Linked DNA regions of Drosophila melanogaster. The protein of the gene in region 1 interacts with the protein of each later gene in a pairwise test. Each region holds a gene or a part of one and is shown in the gene's direction. Other genes may lie near its edges.

Evidence for each region. The genes of interacting proteins can lie anywhere in the genome.
Region 2: the proteins of usp (region 1) and Met interact in a two-hybrid assay, tested with the Drosophila melanogaster proteins (2 studies listed by BioGRID).
Region 3: the proteins of usp (region 1) and Chd64 interact in a two-hybrid assay, tested with the Drosophila melanogaster proteins (one study listed by BioGRID).

Annotation. Positions count from the first base shown.
Region 1 is NC_004354.4:2,036,126-2,043,897, reverse strand, and holds usp (ultraspiracle), read left to right. Parts: upstream 1-1,586; 5' UTR 1,587-1,851; exon of another isoform or gene 1,852-2,030; intron 2,031-2,253; 5' UTR 2,254-2,437; intron 2,438-2,511; 5' UTR 2,512-2,984; coding exon 2,985-4,511; 3' UTR 4,512-5,100; downstream 5,101-7,772. Other genes in the region: CG4325 (uncharacterized protein), read left to right, coding at 171-292, 485-839. UniProt on the Drosophila melanogaster protein: Receptor for ecdysone. May be an important modulator of insect metamorphosis. Plays an important part in embryonic and post-embryonic development. Binds to ecdysone response elements (ECRES) such as in the promoter region of s15 chorion gene.
Region 2 is NC_004354.4:11,612,897-11,622,405, forward strand, and holds Met (Methoprene-tolerant), read left to right. Parts: upstream 1-3,227; 5' UTR 3,228-3,971; coding exon 3,972-5,264; intron 5,265-5,333; coding exon 5,334-6,191; 3' UTR 6,192-8,384; downstream 8,385-9,509. Other genes in the region: CG1703 (uncharacterized protein), read left to right, coding at 1-368, 441-2,059; RPA3 (replication protein A3), read right to left, coding at 2,449-2,550, 2,622-2,858.
Region 3 is NT_037436.4:4,118,764-4,125,523, reverse strand, and holds the start of Chd64 (Chd64), read left to right. Parts: upstream 1-3,135; 5' UTR 3,136-3,314; coding exon 3,315-3,368; intron 3,369-6,760. Other genes in the region: ens (ensconsin), read left to right, coding at 24-388, 445-605, 672-688.

The DNA of each region.
Region 1 (7,772 bases):
GTGGAGTGTACTGTGGCTGCCTGGACGCTTATCAGCAAAACGCTCGATTCAGCGACTTGCATTCATTCAGTCCCCTGTCACCGGCCGAGCAACAATACGGCACAGGGAGATCGAACCTGATTGGATCGGAGCGAATCGAATCGACCTAGGTATAAGTCAACCGGAGCGGAATGGGCCGTAACAACGTCATCTGCACGATCTGCTCGGAGCGGTTTCGCACCTCGGACAATATACAAGCCGGCAGCTGCGGACACGCGTTCCACGAGGACTGCCTAGACCACTGGAGAAAGCAGTAAGTAAAAGTGATCCTAAGGACTTGAGAGCTATAACGAAAATGAAATGTGCCACTGATATAATATTCTAATTTATGCACCAATCAGAAATGAAAATGATACAAAAGTGATTTAAATCAGTGGCAGTGCCCCAAATCTTATCGCCGAGCTCAAACGTTTTGTCTTATACGCGGATTCCGTCTGCTTTGCAGATCAAGGACTTGCCCTATCTGCCGCAGCCAGGATGCCGCCTACTTTCAGCTTTATCTGGACTTTGAGGAGTTTCCGGAAAGTGCATCGGCTCAGGGTGGCAGTTGGGGCGGCCATAATCGGAGCCAAGGTCACAGCAGCAGCAGCAGCAGCTGCAGCAGCAACAACAACAACAGTAACGACAACAGCAGCAGTGACGATTATATTGGAATTATGAGGGAGTACGAGAATCTACTTTACGAGACGGGCGTGTACCGAGAAGAGATCGAATATCTTAACCAGCGGATCGGAGCCCTTACTGTCCTCAATGCTGAACTCAGCAAACTACATGAATGTTCGGATTCGGATGTTGATTAAAAGCCGTAAACAAACAAACGAGTCGCATTTGCTTATCGTACTATTCGCCTGAAAACCAATCAAAACCGAATATTTGCGAAACCGACAGGCAAAACGTAATAAGGCTGAGCTAAACAAAAGAACTCGATACATTTCATTATAAAGGAAGCGGTAGGTACAGGGTTAGCAACTAAAGGGTTTGACAAGATAATAGACCCAAATAGAAATAAATTGTTTAGGGCTGAGGCCCCAAATTGCGATATCAGAAAATTAAACTGATAGAAAATATCACATATTAGTGTATTTTTTGTATACCAATAATCAAATAAATATTAAGAATATATGTCCTGAATGTCAATTTTGATGTGAAAACTCTATTTCCATTCCCTTAAACTGTTTTAAAATAAGCTTCTTAATTTGATAGTGTTAAGCAAATTTTTTTCTATATAAATTTTGAATCTCCCATTTTTGTTCTAAACCGGTATCGAATTTTAAGGCAGATGTTAGGGTGCTCTTGAATTACTGAATCCCTGCTTCTTGGTCATCGCGGAAATTCATTTTTTAGAAATTTACTGCGGTCTAACTATCGCATAAATATATAAAATACATAAATATCCATGACGGATTAATTTTCAGATTTTCTGACCATTAAGCGAAGTGGAAACAGCCTATAATGTGCCATTGTTTTTTACCGAACCAAGGCAACTCACCGCGACAGTATACTCACCACAGACAAACCAGTTCTTCGCCCCCCGCAATCGCTTTCTCACCACGCTGTCAGCTGTTGTTTCGCGAAATGCTTCTTCTTGCGAATGCCAATTACCGCGTCGCGTCTCTTTGTGATGATGGGATGGACTCAATTACTACAATTACAATAGAGATTGCAACAAATTAAATCAGCGTCGTGTGGTGTTGTCGTGTCAGTGACGTGCCTGTGTGTGTGTGTGCTCGCGAGCACTGATAACTGATAGCCAAGGAAAAAAGTAAATAAACAACCGTCACCTTGCGGCGCATCAAAAGCCACTGGCTGCAAGTAAGTTGCACTTCCATTTGCATTTCGCCCAATTCTGGTTCCGTTTGGTCTTGGGATTCACGGTTCAGCAGCCTAACCGCTCGATTCTCGGCGACGGCGTTTGCGATTTGAGGCCGAGGTTGCCGCCGGCAGCGGTGAAATTGGCGCACATTCACGTCTCCATTTTGCATTTCTATTCTGCATAATTGCAGCGGCGCTAAATTATTTGTGCACTGTGTGGTTTGCAAGGCGGTGAGGAGGGGAGCCAGACTGACTCAGGGTTGCATGCGCCGTAGGTGCGGTGAGTTTTGCAATGGCGCCGCCAGGGCTGTCGCTACTCCCGTTTTCTGGTTTTCGACTAAATTAATTAATTGATTGATTGCGCATTGGTTATCAAAGTAAAAACACTTATTTTTGCGGCAGGTGCGATGGGCATTAGCGCTTTAATTGGGTCATTAACGCCCACTTAAAACTGTTTCTGTGAGTGGGAAAACAGCCCTGTCCACTTTGTGGTGAATTAGAGATGCGATTGCGCCCAGTCACGAATCCGTGCTTCAATTGGGAGACCGATATATGTACTTATGTCGTGCATTAATTAAAAAGAGGAGTATGTAATTTTATAGATGCGTTATATACCATATGACTTAAGGTAATACCATCGCCGTTGTTAATTTTATACAGTGTTTAACAGTCGTGACTGTGACTCGTGACGACGCAACCTGTGTCACAGTCCATCCCTACGTTGGTGAGTTGCGTCGCTGTGGTGAGATTGTCTTTGTTGAGAAAAAATGTCGACGCGAAAAAAGGTATTTATTCATTAGTCAGAAAGTCTGGCATTCTTTGTTTGTTGGTAAAAAGCGCAATTGTTTGGAGGCGAGCGAATAAAGTGCGCTGCTCCATCGGCTCAAGATTATGTAAATGCAGCAACGACCCCACCAACAACGAAACTGCAACCTGCTCCACTTGGCCCAACGGACCAATAGCGGACGGACGGACACGGTGGCGTTGGCAAAGTGAAACCCCAACAGAGAGGCGAAAGCGAGCCAAGACACACCACATACACACGAAGAGAACGAGCAAGAAGAAACCGGTAGGCGGAGGAGGCGCTGCCCCCAGTTCCTCCAATATACCCAGCACCACATCACAAGCCCAGGATGGACAACTGCGACCAGGACGCCAGCTTTCGGCTGAGCCACATCAAGGAGGAGGTCAAGCCGGACATCTCGCAGCTGAACGACAGCAACAACAGCAGCTTTTCGCCCAAGGCCGAGAGTCCCGTGCCCTTCATGCAGGCCATGTCCATGGTCCACGTGCTGCCCGGCTCCAACTCCGCCAGCTCCAACAACAACAGCGCTGGAGATGCCCAAATGGCGCAGGCGCCCAATTCGGCTGGAGGCTCTGCCGCCGCTGCAGTCCAGCAGCAGTATCCGCCTAACCATCCGCTGAGCGGCAGCAAGCACCTCTGCTCTATTTGCGGGGATCGGGCCAGTGGCAAGCACTACGGCGTGTACAGCTGTGAGGGCTGCAAGGGCTTCTTTAAACGCACAGTGCGCAAGGATCTCACATACGCTTGCAGGGAGAACCGCAACTGCATCATAGACAAGCGGCAGAGGAACCGCTGCCAGTACTGCCGCTACCAGAAGTGCCTAACCTGCGGCATGAAGCGCGAAGCGGTCCAGGAGGAGCGTCAACGCGGCGCCCGCAATGCGGCGGGTAGGCTCAGCGCCAGCGGAGGCGGCAGTAGCGGTCCAGGTTCGGTAGGCGGATCCAGCTCTCAAGGCGGAGGAGGAGGAGGCGGCGTTTCTGGCGGAATGGGCAGCGGCAACGGTTCTGATGACTTCATGACCAATAGCGTGTCCAGGGATTTCTCGATCGAGCGCATCATAGAGGCCGAGCAGCGAGCGGAGACCCAATGCGGCGATCGTGCACTGACGTTCCTGCGCGTTGGTCCCTATTCCACAGTCCAGCCGGACTACAAGGGTGCCGTGTCGGCCCTGTGCCAAGTGGTCAACAAACAGCTCTTCCAGATGGTCGAATACGCGCGCATGATGCCGCACTTTGCCCAGGTGCCGCTGGACGACCAGGTGATTCTGCTGAAAGCCGCTTGGATCGAGCTGCTCATTGCGAACGTGGCCTGGTGCAGCATCGTTTCGCTGGATGACGGCGGTGCCGGCGGCGGGGGCGGTGGACTAGGCCACGATGGCTCCTTTGAGCGACGATCACCGGGCCTTCAGCCCCAGCAGCTGTTCCTCAACCAGAGCTTCTCGTACCATCGCAACAGTGCGATCAAAGCCGGTGTGTCAGCCATCTTCGACCGCATATTGTCGGAGCTGAGTGTAAAGATGAAGCGGCTGAATCTCGACCGACGCGAGCTGTCCTGCTTGAAGGCCATCATACTGTACAACCCGGACATACGCGGGATCAAGAGCCGGGCGGAGATCGAGATGTGCCGCGAGAAGGTGTACGCTTGCCTGGACGAGCACTGCCGCCTGGAACATCCGGGCGACGATGGACGCTTTGCGCAACTGCTGCTGCGTCTGCCCGCTTTGCGATCGATCAGCCTGAAGTGCCAGGATCACCTGTTCCTCTTCCGCATTACCAGCGACCGGCCGCTGGAGGAGCTCTTTCTCGAGCAGCTGGAGGCGCCGCCGCCACCCGGCCTGGCGATGAAACTGGAGTAGGGTCCCGACTCTAAAGTCTCCCCCGTTCTCCATCCGAAAAATGTTTCATTGTGATTGCGTTTGTTTGCATTTCTCCTCTCTATCCCTTATACCCTACAAAAGCCCCCTAATATTACGCAAAATGTGTATGTAATTGTTTATTTTTTTTTTATTACCTAATATTATTATTATTATTGATATAGAAAATGTTTTCCTTAAGATGAAGATTAGCCTCCTCGACGTTTATGTCCCAGTAAACGAAAAACAAACAAAATCCAAAACTTGAAAAGAACACAAAACACGAACGAGAAAATGCACACAAGCAAAGTAAAAGTAAAAGTTAAACTAAAGCTAAACGAGTAAAGATATTAAAATAACGGTTAAAATTAATGCATAGTTATGATCTACAGACGTATGTAAACATACAAATTCAGCATAAATATATATGTCAGCAGGCGCATATCTGCGGTGCTGGCCCCGTTCTAAATCAATTGTAATTACTTTTTAACATAAATTTACCCAAAACGTTATCAATTAGATGCGAGATACAAAAATCACCGACGAAAACCAACAAAATATATCTATGTATAAAAAATATAAACTGCATAACAAGATATATGGTCGTTTTATCTGCGGATCTGCGATTAATCCCATTGTCCACACAAATATATGGCTTTATTTGCGTATATAAGCGGTGCGTTTCAGGACTGTAAGAAGAAATCGAGTGACTTTCTCGAAGGCGGAAATGTATATACATCCATGCCTATTTGCGCGGATGTTTCAATATTTCAGTTTTATTATTATAAATCATACTATGTTCTGTTCCGCCTAACAAGTTTTGTATTACTAGTTAAATTAGTTATTCTGCCGGCCCCTTGGGTGGCTTTCTTTTTTTTTTTAATATATCTGTGATATAATTAGGTGGAGGTAATAAATAAAGTTCACTGCGGAAACTCTTCGAAAATAGCCAGTCTAAATTTAATTCATTTCATTCAAAAGATGATCCCAACGATTTCACGATCTTGTACTTATAATGTGTAAAATGTTAACCAACTAGAAATCCCTTCTATTGTGATTATGAAAGGATCGCTTTTCGCTTTCGAACCGCACTGTACGCCTTGTTCGCGTCCCCTAGGCATTGATTTTTGGTTTGTGGACCATCGCCTGATGGTCCCCACTCCTCACCTTGATGTTGCGGCCTCTCAGATGGCATTTGGTCAATTTTTATAAAATTTATGTCTCAGCGGGAATGTATGTTAGTATGTATTTACAAAAATATGGTATTAACGCACAAGCAGCGACTAAGAATAGATATTGTTTTTGAAAAAAGAACAAAACTCGCCGCTGACGACGCACATTATGTTCTATAAATAGCCAAATTGAGGCTCTATCTCTTTCTATATCGTTGTATCTTATCTGTATATCTCGCCCCAAAGGAATATCTGTAAATTGGGACAAGTCGACGGATACAATACTTAGCCGTCGGAGATCCTGGCTATTTAACATGAACGTATTCTCAGATTCTCCATTCACACAAATGATCTAGAGCTTTTGAAAGCTCCCACACAGAGTGAAAGAGAGGGGTAGAATGTTAGAGAGAGACGGCAGTGTGTCCACACTTATTGTGGGTGGTTTTTATTGGTTTAGCTAATAGCTATCCTTGATTTTGTGTGTGGCGAGCATATTTAATAAATTTCATAAATTTCATCTCTCTCCACCGACAAGAAGAAGCCCACACAAATAGTCCTATGTAGCAGCGTGTTAAAAAATGTGGAATGAAAAATGAAATGTTTCGCACGGAAAAACCATGAAAGCATGCCAATAAAATCATGTGTCCCCTCCCCTCCTCCTCCAAATACCCACCACCATTTCCTTCGACGATTTGCGATTTCGTGTGTGTATTGGAAAAGAGTTTTCGAAGCGAAATTAACAATTTGCTATTTTCGTAGTTATGCGGGGGCGTTTGCCAAAGACCCACGAGGGGACTATGGGTGGATGCTGTCTGAACCGCGGAGACTCGCTGACAGACGAGGAGAAAACCAAGGAGGTGGGGCGTCAGACGCGCTGACGTAGGGGCCAACAAGTTGTTGTCGTCTTCGCATATCGCGCACAGCATACGCCATACAGGGTGCCCCTTTTGAGCTCTCTTACTTTCTTTGCGTTACTTCGTGTCGCCTGCAACTGCATTTTCCTACCAATTTCACTAATGGGCGTCCGTCCGAGAGCTCTCTTCGTCACAGCCGCAGCAAAAGCAAGGGGAGCAGGCAGCACCGCAGCTGCAAATGAGCAAAAAGCAGAAAGAAGGAGTTCGGAACTGGCGATACCCATTGCTTTTAGAAGACAGTCCAATGGCCAGACTATTTGGCTCATACCCAGGTCCTAATTACCTGATCGTTCAACAAACTCATGTTCAGGACATTCGTACATATACGTATATTCATCATAATCAGAATGTATCGGAATTGTGTTGATTTCTAAACGAGACGAGTGAAAGTCCACGAAAGCAGCATGCCCGCACTTCATCGTTCAACTAAAGGGTCCCACGAATCGTACGCTTATGCTGGCCGAATTCATACTTTCTTCTGCCACCCACTCCCACTCCGGCACTCTTGCCGCTCCACTCTTCGTGACTCGGATGTTCGCATGTTCGGATGCTTGGATGCTCGGATGCTTGGATGCTTGGATGCTCGGATGCTCGGATGTTGGGGTCTTCGGCTATGGCAAGCGATCCAAACTGATCCGATTCGATCCGATGCTCCCGCTGCACGGCAGACTTTTCTTCTTCCTCTGCGACGGCTGCTGTGGTGCGGTGGGCGATGTGGGGCAGGTGGGTCGGATGGGGGGGTTGGTGTGGTGTGTGTTGGTGCGCCGACGGCAGCGGCGGTGACTGCGACTGCGACGACGACTGCGACGGTATTCAGAGTTAGCAGCTGGCTGGCGCGACATCAGTTTTGAGTTGGCTATCAACGCGAGCGGGTCTTTCTCTTCGCAAGCGACACACGTAGATATTGCTCCAATTGCTGTCCACACAGATTGTTTTGTTGTTTTTGTTTTTGTTTGGTTCGACTACACACACACGAGTAGATATAGATATATATATGTGTACATATATATATATCTGGCTAACCGACTCACTTGCTTTCGTTATACTCTATTTTCTTTTTTTTTTGGGTTATTTTTTTGTACTTGTTTGAAAAATAAATATAAAAACGAAATATTAAAAAAAACGAGCAAAGCAAAATATAAGTAACGAAAACTGTGCATGTGTGTGAGGTGTGTGTG
Region 2 (9,509 bases), 9.6 Mb from region 1:
AGTCCTTAGCGAAAAAGTGGCGGCAGTAAGTCTCAAGGAAAAGACACCTGAGCCGGTACCCAAGGCCGAGCCCGAACCCGAGTCTGAACCCCAACCCGACGAGGAAGCCGATGCTGAGGTAGATTCCAAGTTCGAGGAGAGCAAGGAAGCCAAGGAGAAGAAACTCACTCACAAGGAGAAAAAGAAGCAAAAGAAGCAGCAGGAGTACGAACGCCAAATGGAGCTGATGACAAAGAAGGGTGGTGCCGGTCACTCGGACTTGGACAACAATTTCACCATGTCGCAGGTGCAGAAGAGCGCTGGTCAAAAGGCGGCTCTGGAGCAAGCCGTGGATATCAAGATCGAGAATTTCACCATCTCAGCCAAGGGTGAGTCATCATTGCTATAACTTTTCGTTGTGCATTATCAATTTTAAATCCAAACATTTTTTTTTTTTTCAGGTAACGATCTATTTGTGAACGCCAACCTATTGATTGCACATGGACGCCGTTATGGTTTGGTGGGTCCCAACGGGCACGGCAAGACCACCCTGCTCCGGCATATTGCCACCCGTGCCTTTGCCATACCGCCCAATATCGATGTGCTGCTTTGCGAACAGGAAGTCGTAGCTACCGATAAAACGGCCATCAATACAATCTTGGAAGCTGATGTGCGTCGCACAGAGATGCTAAAGAAGGCCGATGAACTGGAGAAACAGTTTGTCGCTGGCGATTTGACGGTGCAGGAGGAGCTAAACGATACCTTCGCGGAACTGAAAGCCATTGGAGCCTACTCGGCGGAAGCCAGGGCACGAAGAATCCTTGCCGGTTTGGGTTTCAGCAAAGAGATGCAGGACAGGCCGACGAACAAATTCTCCGGAGGCTGGCGCATGAGAGTGTCCCTAGCAAGAGCTCTCTATCTGGAGCCCACGTTGCTTATGCTCGACGAACCGACCAATCATTTGGATCTTAATGCTGTCATTTGGCTGGACAACTATCTGCAGGGCTGGAAGAAGACCCTGTTGATCGTGTCCCACGACCAGAGTTTCTTGGACAACGTCTGCAACGAGATCATACATTTGGATCAAAAGAAACTGCAATACTACAAGGGCAACTATTCCATGTTCAAGAAGATGTATGTGCAGAAACGCCGCGAGATGATCAAGGAGTACGAGAAGCAGGAGAAGCGCCTGCGCGAGCTGAAGGCCCACGGTCAGTCGAAGAAGGCAGCGGAAAAGAAGCAGAAGGAATCGCTCACACGCAAGCAGGAGAAGAACAAGTCTAAGCAGCAGAAACAGGACGAGGATGAGGGACCTCAGGAGCTGTTGGCCAGGCCCAAGGAATATATTGTCAAGTTCCGCTTCCCGGAGCCATCGCAGCTCCAGCCACCCATTCTGGGTGTCCACAATGTCACCTTCGCCTTTCCGAGCCAGAAACCGCTGTTCATCAAGGTTGACTTTGGCATTGATCTAACTAGTCGAGTGGCCATCGTGGGACCCAATGGTGTGGGCAAATCAACCTTCCTCAAGCTGCTGCTCGGTGAATTGGAACCGCAGGAGGGTGAGCAGCGCAAGAATCACCGACTTCATGTGGGCCGCTTCGATCAGCACTCAGGTGAACATCTCACGGCAGAGGAATCGGCTGCAGAGTACCTGCAGCGTCTGTTCAATCTGCCCCACGAAAAGGCGCGTAAGGCATTGGGTTCCTTTGGTTTGGTCAGTCATGCACACACCATCAAGATGAAGGATCTGTCCGGTGGTCAGAAAGCCCGTGTGGCCCTCGCTGAGCTATGCTTGAGTGCGCCGGATGTACTAATTCTCGATGAGCCTACGAACAATCTGGACATCGAGAGTATCGACGCCTTGGCGGAGGCAATCAACGAGTACGAGGGTGGCGTGATCATCGTCTCCCACGACGAGCGTTTGATCCGTGAAACAGGTTGCACTCTCTACGTAATTGAGGATCAGACGATCAACGAGATTGTTGGAGAGTTCGATGACTACAGAAAGGAGGTTCTCGATTCGCTCGGCGAGGTGGTCAACAATCCTAGCGTGGTGGCCAATGCGGCTGTGCTGCAATAACCCTCAAGTTGCATACGGACTTGGAGTCCATGCAACTGGTCATCACTCGTCAGCTGGCTCGCCCTATGTTAATTGTTCAACTGTTGAATTGATTATCTGCTAGTTAGTCTTTTTATACCAACATATATACAATAACAAATTGTGGAAGTAAATGTTATTACACAAGAGCGTTTAAGAATGTGTTGTTTATGTTATTAAATTGTGGGTATTAAGTATTTGTTGTAGAATATACGTGGAACTGGTTAAAACACCCGTAAATTGTACTCGTAATATATGTAGATAGATGATTTATATTTAAAGTTAATGCCAGCTCTGAGTGTTCTCCAAAAAAATGGAAAAAATAACATTAGAGTACATAATATTAATTCTTAGATATAATTGTGGACATCCTAGCCGCTGCGATAGAAGGCCTTGACATTGTTAATCAGGTGGCTCAATCCATTATAGCCATCCTTATCGAAGTCGATGTTCTCGCCGCCAAACTCGATGACCTGCAAATGAATAGTGGGCAAATGGTTTGGGATCATTGAAATAAATGACTCCATGGATTGAGTGCACCCACCTCCTTGGCCCTGAGGGTGTCCGCACCATGGGGCACTCCAATGACCTCGACCCAGGCCCCTTCGGCGGCGCCCAGCTCACCCGGCAGATTGATCTTTAGCTTGTGGTTGTCTGTGGAACTGGCCAGCAAAGTGGATCCCGCGACGCTCTCCACGCGAACCATTATGCTCACGGTTTGGCCGGAAAACTGCTTCAGCATGCCGCCGTTGATAATCGAGCGTGGATCAAAGGCATCCATAATAACTCCTCAGTTAATAACGTTCAAAAAACAGCCAATTTCAGCAGAAAATGAAATGCCGTAAACAAGAAAGAGCGCCAATAGTTATCGAGCGTGCTAATCGATAATAAAATTGCATGACGTCTGCTATCGAAATTATTCGAATTTTGTAGCAAAAATATTTATGGATTTATTGTAACATCAAAAGTTATTACATTATTACTGTGGACTTATGTATTATAATAAGAATTAATAAAAATAATTTATAATAGAATTATAAAAAGACCTGATAGATTACATGTATTACAACAATGTTATCGACAGCGAACAAGATGTTCGAATCTTTCTGATATTTTGTCCGGTGTGAACGTGCGAATTTTAGTACGACAACCAGTTACATCGATGTATCGATAGTTTTTAGACTGGCCAATGTTTATTGTTATAAAATAAATGTTACAAATAAACAATTAATCACTTAGTATAAACAAAAATAAGTGCAAGCAGCAAGTGCGTTGTTAAAACGACCGCCGCCCTCCGAATTTCCTTATTGCGGGCATTAAATCGCAACAACAACAACGCCACCAGCAACAGCAACAACAATAAGCAGGAGATTCAGATTCGCAACGCAATCAAAACGTAAAAAAAAAACGAAAAATAAAAAACTACAAGGCGAAACGCATAAATAAATAGGGAAGCAAATAATAGTAATAATAAGACTAAAAGCAAGTGGAAAAGTACGAAAGCGAAAAGAGAAAACATATGTACGTTGCGTGAGAGTGACGTGTGTGTGTGTGTGTCAGTGAGCGAAGGAGAGTGAGCGAGAGAGGGGAGGCGAGCAAAAACAAAAACAACAGCACAGCATAAGCGAGACCTTGAAAACTTTAAAAGCAGCAAAAAAAACAAGACAACAGCCAAAAATAAGAAACTAAAAGCTGCAAAAGTAATAAAAAATATATTTTAGCCGAAAAATTTCCATAATAACAATTCTAGAAGTGCGGAGCGTACACCCTGTTATGGAGAGTGACGATTTTCATTTACCGCAAGGCGCCAATTAAAGGGGAAAATCCATAAATCGAGGATTACAAGTGGAAAACAAGGAGGCAGTAACTCCAGAAAACGCCCAAAAAGTCCAAAATGGCAGCACCAGAGACGGGCAACACGGGCTCCACAGGATCCGCTGGCTCGACAGGATCGGGATCGGGATCGGGATCGGGAAGTGGGAGCTCCTCAGATCCAGCGAATGGACGGGAGGCCCGTAACCTTGCCGAAAAACAGCGACGGGATAAGCTTAATGCCAGCATCCAGGAGCTGGCCACCATGGTACCACATGCAGCCGAATCCTCCCGTCGCCTGGACAAAACCGCCGTCCTTAGATTCGCCACCCATGGCCTGAGACTTCAGTATGTCTTTGGCAAGTCCGCTTCCAGACGTCGCAAGAAAACCGGCCTCAAGGGAACGGGTATGTCTGCCTCACCTGTCGGAGATCTACCCAATCCCAGTCTGCATCTAACGGACACTCTAATGCAACTGCTGGACTGCTGCTTCCTCACCCTAACCTGCAGTGGCCAAATCGTTTTGGTATCCACCAGCGTGGAGCAGCTATTGGGTCACTGTCAGTCCGATTTGTATGGCCAGAATCTACTGCAGATCACGCATCCCGATGATCAGGATCTGTTAAGACAGCAGCTAATACCCAGGGATATAGAGACCCTGTTCTATCAGCATCAGCACCACCAGCAGCAGGGGCACAATCCCCAGCAGCACTCCACTTCCACGTCGGCCTCAACTTCGGGCAGTGATCTGGAGGAGGAGGAAATGGAGACGGAGGAACACCGTCTGGGTCGGCAGCAGGGAGAGGCGGACGATGACGAGGATCACCCGTACAACCGACGAACACCCAGCCCGCGGAGAATGGCCCATTTGGCGACCATTGATGACCGACTACGCATGGATCGGCGCTGCTTTACCGTCCGCTTGGCTAGGGCTTCCACGCGAGCGGAGGCCACGCGTCATTACGAGCGGGTTAAGATCGATGGCTGCTTTCGTCGCAGTGACTCCTCCTTAACCGGAGGTGCCGCTGCCAACTATCCGATTGTCTCCCAGCTGATACGACGCTCGAGAAACAACAATATGCTGGCTGCTGCTGCAGCAGTGGCAGCAGAAGCGGCGACGGTGCCGCCCCAGCACGATGCCATTGCCCAGGCGGCGCTGCACGGGATTAGCGGCAATGATATTGTCCTGGTGGCCATGGCCAGGGTGCTGCGAGAGGAACGGCCGCCTGAGGAGACGGAGGGTACAGTGGGCTTGACCATTTACAGACAGCCAGAACCCTATCAGTTGGAGTACCATACGAGGCATCTAATCGACGGCAGCATCATCGACTGTGATCAAAGGATTGGTCTGGTGGCGGGATATATGAAGGATGAGGTGGGTATATTAACATCATCTCTCTGAACTGCTTACGACAACTAATCGTGTACTCTCCACTCGAAACAGGTGCGCAACCTTAGTCCCTTCTGTTTCATGCACCTGGACGACGTTCGCTGGGTGATTGTGGCCCTTCGACAAATGTACGATTGCAACAGTGACTACGGCGAGAGCTGCTACCGTCTGCTGTCCCGCAACGGGCGCTTCATTTACCTGCACACCAAGGGATTTCTGGAGGTCGACCGTGGCAGTAATAAGGTGCATTCCTTTCTGTGCGTCAACACGCTGCTCGATGAGGAGGCGGGCCGGCAAAAGGTGCAGGAGATGAAGGAGAAATTCTCGACAATCATCAAGGCGGAGATGCCCACGCAGAGCAGCAGTCCCGATTTGCCCGCCTCGCAGGCACCGCAGCAACTTGAGAGAATTGTCCTCTATCTAATAGAGAACCTACAGAAGAGTGTGGATTCAGCAGAGACGGTTGGCGGCCAGGGCATGGAAAGCCTAATGGACGATGGCTACAGTTCGCCAGCAAATACCTTAACTCTCGAGGAGTTAGCTCCCTCGCCCACGCCCGCCTTGGCCTTGGTGCCGCCGGCTCCCTCATCGGTCAAGAGCTCCATCTCCAAGTCGGTGAGTGTGGTCAATGTGACGGCGGCCAGAAAGTTTCAGCAGGAGCATCAGAAGCAGCGTGAACGTGACCGTGAGCAGCTTAAGGAGCGCACCAACTCCACGCAGGGCGTGATCCGGCAACTGAGCAGCTGCCTAAGCGAGGCGGAAACGGCATCCTGTATCCTATCACCAGCCAGTAGCTTGAGTGCCAGCGAAGCACCGGACACGCCCGATCCGCACAGCAACACATCACCGCCACCGTCGCTCCACACACGTCCCAGTGTCCTGCATCGAACCCTGACCAGCACGCTGCGATGACGGGCTGATGGAACCTGGTTTGCCTTCTAATTGGGTGTGTGGAAATGGACGTCATTGGTAGCTCACGTGCCCACAAACGAATTAGTATCGGTAATATAATCCTGGCCAATCGCAAAATGAAAACCCAAAATGTATCAGAAAAAAACGAGCATTATTCAAATAGTTTAAAAATTCAGCCAAAAAACTTAAAAACGAAAAAAAAGAGCGTGGGTTGAAAAACCTTTTGTTTTCATATTCACATTTCCAAGCTTTGAGCAATCAAACAATTTTAATTTTCAGTATACACATATGTATAATGAGTTGGCTTTACAAAAGCTATTAACAAATCAAGCAATTGTGTAATTTAATATGAGACTTTCCGTGATTTTCGCTTTCTACGTACTTTTCGACTTCAATTGATCTATAGGGTTTCCGTATTAAAAACGAAATTAACGTGGTTTCATTTGATGAAAATGCAATATGAGCTCGCATTTATTTTGATATTATGACAGTAATAATGATCTGATCACGATAATCGTTTTCTCAAAACATAAGCGATACATTTTGGGTACATTTGGCCATTACTGTTTCTGTGTGTGATTTCGGTATAAAATAGTAGTTTGATTACATGTTATATTGATGAATGGCGATCGGTGGGTGCTGCTAAATGCGTTCCATTATCAATAATTTTCGTTATGTAATTACGTTTAATTTGTAAATATGTATGAGTGCGAGCGTGAGTGAGTTTGTGATCGTGTCAGCATGGGTGTGAATGAACATTAGATCAGTGCTCGGATTTGGTTTTAGTTGAAATTTAAACCCCATTTCCCCGATTTCCCAGTTATCACCTTCCGCCCCAAAACACCAGTGTAAAAAGAGTACAAAAAAAAAAAGAAAAGAAAATAGAAAAACAAACAAACAATTATATATTTATTTCGCCCTAAGTCTAGAACGTGCTAAACACAACTCATTAATAGTTAAACAAACGGATGTTGCAATCGATGGAAATTAAACGCTCGCTTTTAGTTTTGCCGTCTCGCTCGAAGAAAGAAAGAGGACTACATATGTACAGTCAAACTAATCCAAGTCAAACTCTTCAGTCTCAGAATTGGAGACTTTATTAAAGGTTTTTTATTTTATGAAGAATAGCATATTATTTTTATATATATATATTTATGTATATATATTTATATCACAAATCTCCTTCGATATCCCTTTGTAATCTATAAAAACACTTCCAGGCGCAGCTTTATTTTTCAACAGTTTTAATTTTGGGAACTTTACAAAGCATATAAGCATACCCCAAATCCATATCCTTATAAACTTTGTAGTTATTACAAATGTGTTCAAAATTAAAAAAAAAGTTTGTCATCCAAAATCCAATCCGCTAAATACAATATAATCATTTTAATTGATCTATGTTACACTTCTATAATGTCTACTGGACAAAATATGATTAAGTTGAAATTTCAAAGTGTTTTTGAAGTTCGTACTAGCGAAGTTTGGCTGTAGTTCAATACTCACAGAAAGGGAGCGAGACATATTCCCATCTCGCTCCGACCTGTTATCAAAGCCTTTGCCATTGTCCTTGGCGTTGCGTTCTTATCACCGGCGTATCGGAGGGAATATATGATTTTTTTTTCGGCCAAGTGGTTCTAGTGGTAAATATGAGGCGGTGGGTGGTTTCGGGGGGTTTGGGGGAACGGCGGTTGGTGATGGGCGCAGAGAAGGCGGGAGGCGGGGGGGAACACGTTTCGTTATTTTTTGTTTTATAGCGAAATTCCTCTAGCTATAAATGTATGCATACATATATGCTATTAACTTTTCGTTTAGCTCAATTTTTTGTTTGTATTTTTAATTATAACTCGGTTTGTCTAGTGTGTAATTAAATTAAAAGTCCAATGCTAATTCCCCAGCGAATCGTTCAGTGTTTGTTCAAACGAGTTGTGCTCTTTAAACACTTTTGGCTTATCCTTTCATTTAATTTTTGTTTGTTTTCCTTGCGTTGTTATATGTCCAAATAAAAATGAAAGTTTGAATTGTTTTTTTTTAGTAATTTAGTTTTAACTGTAATGTCAAATGTCAAGAGGTATACTCTGTATAAGAATAATAATGTGTAATGTAATTTTTAGAACTTGCTAATCTCTAGCAATTAAAACATAGCCTGTAATTAACAATAATTAATTATAATAACCAGTAACAGTTCATGCAAATGAAACCTTAATAAATAATAAATTATATAAAAGAAGATGGAAGTGTTTTCAATCAATGAAGTTACTTCCTATTTTCAGGAGTTGGAATGTTACACTTTTTTATAAGCTGATTTGAAATGCGCGCCACATTATATCTGCCTTGCGCGCACGCATTGCAGCCGAATAACGGCGAATTAACTCCCCTCAGAGGTGAGTTTGAACTATCGATTATAATCGATTGCATTCGGAAACAAAAAACACCTTGAGTTTGGTCAGATCGGTTTTGCGCGGGATAAATAATAAAATATTAAATGTTTTCTTTGTTAACATTTCGCTGTGCATGCTGTCTGGGTACACATATACAGCCTATCGCCTTGGCTCACTAAGCCCATGGCTCAGATGTCCATTTGGACTAACATTTTGTGTGAGTAATTGAATAATAAGAATTACGGAGCTCGGACTTGTAATGGCCGAAGTACTACTGCCGCAATGCTTGGTTCACGTTAAAAAGAATCAAGTGCAACAAATTTAATTGTATTTAACTATTTTATAACCGCGCAGCAAAGTAATGGTTAATTCTGCTTTTAAATAGTTGACAGTTACAAGCGAAACATAGAAGCCGCGCAGGTTCCTATCGATACCATCGCTGGGTCATCGATTATTTGTCCAGCTCTACAGGTGAAACGAGCGTTGGCGATTCCGATTCCGATTCCAATTCCGATTCCAAATTCGACTCCGGACTCGAATCCGATTTGAATCAGATTCCAATTCAGTGTGGTGAAGAGCGAACCGGAGTGCGGACGGTACGGACGCGAAATCTGTTAAGGCGGGCCGCAAAGCAAACGCTCGAAAAACGCAAAATTTGTCGATTGTCCGTTCCGCTTTTTTCTTGTGTCTGTGCTTTGCGTCGCGTGCCTGCGTGTACGTGTAAGTGTGCGTGCGCCTGTGTTTGTTTTTTGTTATTTTTTTTATAACCAACGACAACAACAGAATAGAAGTAAATAAAATACACAAATTAACGGTGTATATATTTAAATGTTTTGGTTTTTTTTAGTGGCGTGCCGAATGAGCAAAATTTGAGAAAAACGCAGTGGAAAACGTAAGAAATGCTGAAATAAAGCTTAAAGTAAAAGCAGAAATTGAGAGT
Region 3 (6,760 bases), on another chromosome or scaffold:
CCTGTTCAAATGTTTGTATATAGGACGCTAACGACAAAGCAGCTCCTGCCGCAACGGCTCCAGAGAATAATAGCAGCAGCAACAGCAGCGTCACCGGGAGCAGCAACAACTCGGCTGAGGGCTCGCCCAGCGCAGCAGATTCCACGCCAGCACCAACGGCAACGGAAACTGTCCAGGAGGCGCCAAACAGTCAGGCGATGTACGAGCAATCGGTGCTAGACAAGGAGAACTCGCTCATCAATAGCTTCTCCACGATGATCATCGATGAGAATGCCAAGAACCTGCAGCAGGTGAGCAACGGCAAGTTGCTGGTGGACTTTGAGAGCACCAATACTGTGCCGGCGGTGGCCAACGGCAATGGACACATCGAGAATGTCAACAACAAGAAGTGAGTGGAGGGAAGTGATATTCTCTCAATTATTATTAACGTTCAACAAATTGTAGTGACATCAATCTGCTGCAGGACGTAGTCGCTCCGGTCGCCACCCAGCTGATTGACCTGAGCATCGAGTCACAAGATCTACACCTGAACAATAACAACAGCTTGCTGACGAGCACAGCGGCAACCACCACGCTAGTCACTGCTGATAGTCACGAAAATAAAGGTACCATTGATTTCATTTATTGCTCATAATAGTCCTTTAATATAATCCTGTTTCTACCAACGACAGATATATCGCTGCTGTGAATTGGATGAGGAAACCAAACTGATTGTTTTCTAAACCTAAATCTTGATATAGCTAAATGTGTGTGGAGTCGGAGTATTTATTTATAGGATGAGATCTATATAGGAATGCGAGTGGACAGTGCGACAAATTATGGTTACTAAAAACAGGAAAACGTAAAAGCTTAAAAAAACCTATATATTTAAACGTACACATTATATAGATAGATCTGAATCAGAATCAGAGCGGGAGTAACGATAAGACCGATCCCGAGCAGCTGCAGATAAAAATTAGTTAAGAACTAAGACAAACCCTAAAAGAGAAAGCGTGAGATATGGTGGGGACATCCTCCTCAGAGATCGGGGATCGTTTGCGAAGCAATTTAATATCAAAGAAATCTGTTTGTGAAGTACTACAACTAAGCTAAAAAAAAGAACATTTGATGCAATTTTCGATTCGAATCGTTGCGTTTCGATCTAATATAATTACAAACTCGCTTCAAAAGTTGAAAGTGCATGCTTACATTGAGTATAACTTGAGCCAGAGAGCAGGATAATCGCCTGGGCCGACGCCGAAGCAGCGTATATAATTGAAAATTATATAAAATTAGTAGACAACAAACCCCTAGTATAAACAACAACGCGAGATTCTACGGGGCACCCAGATCGAATTGTGTGTGGACGGGTCCCGAGCAAGCAATAAAAGAATACGAAGACGCGGTATCCACATACCATTAACCCATCCACATTTACAGCGCCTCACTGCTAGGAGGGCATATTCGAACCCCCTCTTTATTTTTTGCCCAACTTTGCACAGTTGTTCTGTAAGTTAAGTTTAATACGTTGAGCCAACGAATCGTGAGGTATTATTTATTTAAACAAAACGAAACAAACGAAAAAAAAAAAACATAGGAAAGAGGAGGAAATAAGGAAATTCAATTGAAATTATTTGCTGATACTGTTCGCAGCTAGTCGAGCAGATACATAGGTAGCCTGTAAACAATAAAACAATTACACGCGGATATATACACCCACTGTAATCACAGATGTCAGTGCTTGATATACACATGCCTAGGTCTAGTGGAACTGGTAGTTCTACCATGTTGTACTATTTGTAGTAGGAGTCCCAAATCTGATTATGCTTATGTCACCCTTTATTATAGGAATGTTCTCTGTATATTATTGCGTCTCTTTTGCGTCTACGTATATATTTTTTGGTAAATGATTTTTTATATATACATATACACATTTATATTTGTAATTTGTATTTATCCATGTGCAAAAATAAATTATGATGATTATTTTTTAAAGAGTCGTCCCCCTCGAAGCATGCATAACAGATTGTAAAAAATGAATCGATTTATATATAATACGAAAATCACACACTACCCACTTGTATCTGAGCGAAAGGGCCTTAACAATTAGTAGGATGCATGATCGATGTATGCAGATCGGTTATAAAAACAGATATAGCAGGCATATTATTCGCATGCGAAAACCGTTAATAGAATAATATATTATAATGGCAATATGTGTATGCAACTAATAAGCCCTAACTTCTAGTTAATTACTGCTTTCCTATGTTATAAACCAAATGGCGATATAATCAAAACAAAAGACAAGCCCACATAAGTTAAATGTGTATGCTACCAACATAACAAACCTTTGAAGATCAAGCTGAATTATGTATTTCTAATATTAAATATATCACAACCCACACATAAAAAAAAAAAAACAAACACGACAAATAGAACAACAAATTATACAAGCAATTCCCCTATTTATTTAGAACCACACTGAAACACTAAAGAAATTCGCTTCTTATCGTAAATCCACAATTGCATAATTTATACGATTAAACAAAATATATATTTATGTGAATAAACTGTAACTAATTCTCAAGGCAATCATCCAAATGCGATTCGCTACTTCTTGGTTTCCAGAAAGTCCCCCAAAAATGTCATGGTCATCTGAATGGAATGCTGCTGCAAGAACCTCTCGATAAGGGGGAACATAGGAAGTTTTCAATGGAACTTTACTCTGGCGAATCTTATCGGATAGTTTGTACACAACCGCAAAAAGTAGCACTAATAGTGGTTGACTTCTATTAAAAGTAAAGCAACAGGTGGATCATGGAAATCATACTGATTCAGATTCATTATCTTTTCAAAACCTATTGAAAACAAAAGTTACTGGTTTAGAAGGCAAATGAACCAGAAATTTTAAATTTATACTTATATAGTGTAAAATTGTTTCCAGTGCTCGATAGTTCCATGTTTTATTATTTGAAAAACAACTGCCGTTAACAAAGCGGTATGACATCATCAATGCCATCATAACAAATCAGCTGCCGCTGATAAGCGCAGCTTGGAGCTTTTATGTTGTACCCAACCTACTAGGTACAAGACTGAGTGTGCTTTACAACACTAAACTGTTGGCGAGCTTTCCTCTGTTTCGCAGCTCGGACCGCCTTTCATAACGTAGTAAGTTTTCGTTGCGAACGGACGTAGCCCAACCAACTTGGCCTTAACCCTTGCGCTCCCTCCGATTTATTCCGCGGCAAACACATTCCAGTGGACAGTGGTGCAGTTCAGCCCAAGACCAACCTACATTTTAGCTCCCTGCAAACCCGTTTCTTCATCAAATAACTATGGCGTCCAACCGTGCAGCGAAGTCTGGTTTTGCCGCCGAGGCCCAGCGCAAAGTAAGTACCAAATAGCAACAACAACCGCACCCCCCACCCAAAAACCGAAGAGCGCCAAACAAAACAACACAATAAACAAATTGCCCAAAAAAAAATCAACTTTTGCACGGGTGTGTGCGTGAGTTTAGAGCTGCATTGACTTTATTTGGCGCTGCGTTGTCAAGATTTTATCTTCGCGCGCCAAATGCCAAAAATTAGCCAAAAATGGTCTTGAAATTGCCAGCGTCTAACAAGGAATGACCTCATTTCGCTGATAAGTCGAACAAGTATTTATGTACATACATATGTATATAGGAATATATACATGCATGTACACACATGTGTAATGCATGCGTAATTCGAAAGCTTGAAGATGATTTAGGTGATTTTGAGGCATTGTCAGTGCGGGTGATTCAAATCGAAGATCGAGAAAACAGTTGGTTATCCATAAATCAAACAATTAGTAGTAGTTAGTAAAGCTCTGGAAATTTCGATATGAATAATATCCCAAGTTCGAACAGTATACATTATAAAGATGAGCTAATATAATCCTAATTAATTGTGCTGCAATAAAAGCAAGTCTGAATACATAGGTGCTACTTGTGGAGTATCCACTGTAGAAGGAAGACCCTTTGGATGATCTCAACCCAACTATTGCAGCATGGTAGCTTCCGCAATGTAAATTGACATTAGTTCCGTCCATTAGCAGCACTTTGCCTCAAATGCACTCATACAAATGCATCGGGCTTTTGTGGGTGGGATGGGGTTGGGGATGGGTTACCCGTACCCTTCGGCCATTTGGCCCTCGTCAAGTCGGGGTTACGCAATTCCAACCGCCCCTGGGCAGCCCCAAGTGAAATTGTATATGTCGCCGGCACAGGGGATTAAGTGCAGTCCGACGAAATCCACAACAAGACAACTACAGTTACAGCATTGCCCAAACAAAAAACGAAACAAATAATCGAGATTTTTCATATCCGAAGTTTTGTATACCCTTGAGGAGCACTTTACCAAGTTGTTGACAAACTGAAATATTTTGTTTTGCTTTAGCTTTGCTTATCTAAAAGTATTTCCACCCGGATTTCATTCTCTTGAGTCAGCCATTTGGCAAAAGGCCTTGTTTATCGGTATTATCTGTACTAGCGCATTTTTAAAACACAGTATGTTTTAAAACACAGTATGAAGTATGTTTTAACGTGGTTTATGGTGATATATCAGGCACTATGGTTATGAAAAATATTATGAGAACTCTGTAGTGTTTATTTATGCCATATCATGTTAAGCTAAAACATTTTGGTACTTGGAATAGGAAGAACCTTGGCATAGGGTATAGAAAAATAAGAGAAATAGAGGCGAGTGCCTGGAGGCGCAGCTGCTGGCGCGACTCCAAGCCGCGATCGAATGGCTCCCCAGGAGCCGAAGGCGATGATGTCATTCCTTCAGCTGTCCCTCCACTGGTGCTCCTCGATCCCTTCGCGATCCATTCAACTCGAAGGCGTTGTTAGTTTGAGCACTTTTGCCGCTCGCTGGGAGTCACTCATATCTTCTGAGGGGGATTCGGGTTCGGGTTTTGAGTTTTTGGGGGTGACAGGAGGTAGAGGCGATAGCAGCACCTTTTCCACCACATGAGCACTTAAAACTGAGTATGTGGCGTAAGCAAACAGCAAAACAAAAGTGAGGCAAAAAGGTATGAAAGCAATATTTTTGTTTGTCTCATGGGTTCTCTACACTCCGTGCTTGCGTGTGTGCTTTTTCCGACTTTTACGACCAGTCACCGACAAATTGGCATGGATCTCAAGTTTCGGCCAGGGAATTCGTAGCCCCTTTATTTTCAACCCTTTCCTGGGATCGTAGCACCAGCTGTCGGGAAAGTTCTAGGAATGAGGCAGAAAGGTCTCAAGTTACTCAAAGTATGTTTACTAATTTGTAACTACATAAACGATTGAATATATTAGTTTAGCAATCTTAGATTCAGCATGATACTATTTCCTTTCTGGAAATTCACCCCTAAGAAGCCGCACTGTAGTTGTTTTCTTTTCCAACTCCCTCCACGCTCGCAGCTGTATCTCACCGCATTGGCGGCACATGGGCCACGTACTAATCACTTGGCCTTTTTCGGAGTCAAGAATCCACACTCAATTAGCAGTGCATATGTGAAAGACACTGTGTACACACTTGTACATCCGCAGCACGCACCTCCCTGTATCTGTATCTATATATCAGTATAGGTACGGGTATCTCTATCAGTGCGGGCGACACGTAAGTGGAACACTTGGCCCACATGAACTCCGTGCTCCTAGATGGGTATAGCTAGGTATTCATTCCCGAACCTCTCCCCCAAAAATTTAACACTTGTTGGCCGCTAGTTTTAGATAAGCCATAAACAGTCGCGGGAGGTGGTCGACAGCGGCTTTATCGTAAATCAAATGCTGTTTTGGATTTCCGGTGAAACTACTGCCAGTGCCGAAAACACCTCGACAAATGAAAATGGAATGAAATTCTGCCCCCTGTCCAAATCCCTCCGAAAAAGGCACTCGATGGGGGCCCATACAACAACTCAGTCAACTGAAGTCGAAGTTGGTCGCTCGTAAACCAGACTCAAAAATCATATATGTATGTACGCAATTGACCTCGTTACATTTTTGCGGATTTTGTTTATGTTATCGTTGTGGAATTTTTGTCATTTTCCCATTTATTTATCCACCCAAAAGATATCGGTCAGCAATTGTCATGGATCATGACGCATTCGAATCGCAAAAGAAAGCGAAATCGGCGGTGGCATAGTGAATAATCACCAGATCTGGCCATTTCGTGGATTGATTTTTGAAGACGCGATTACGTAATTGTTTGCCTGGCGATGGATGCGTCAACTCCCAGCGATCCCTTTCGCAGCAAAATAAAAAAAAACACACATTTAACTAATCATCACCATCACCATCTACATCTATGTATCTGCGCTCAAATATTGCCAAAGTTCAAATTCAAGCCATAACGATGCCATGACATCACCACCATCGGCTTCAAAAAGCCATCAGCCAAGCAAAACGTGCCCCTGTCTCTTTTTCTGTGATCCTACAATGGATTATTATGCAATGATCATCAGTCTGGGGCTCCTCGCCGGCTTTTGGGCGGAAACTTCCGTCAAATTTGCAATAGGGATTCATTATTTATTAAGTATAAAACGTTTTTAGAATATTAGAGACACTTAGTTTCTTGCTGAAGCTAAAACTTATTTCTTAAAACAAACTGAATGGTACGGCTTAGTAATCCATTAAAGGAAGCATATGATTCCTAAAAATCAAGTTTTTAAAATATTTTATTTTCTGAATTTTTTAAATAAATGAGCTGGCTATCATTAACTACTTCCCGAAGTTTCGGAAACTTGCACAAATCTTTGATCATAAAACTCGTAG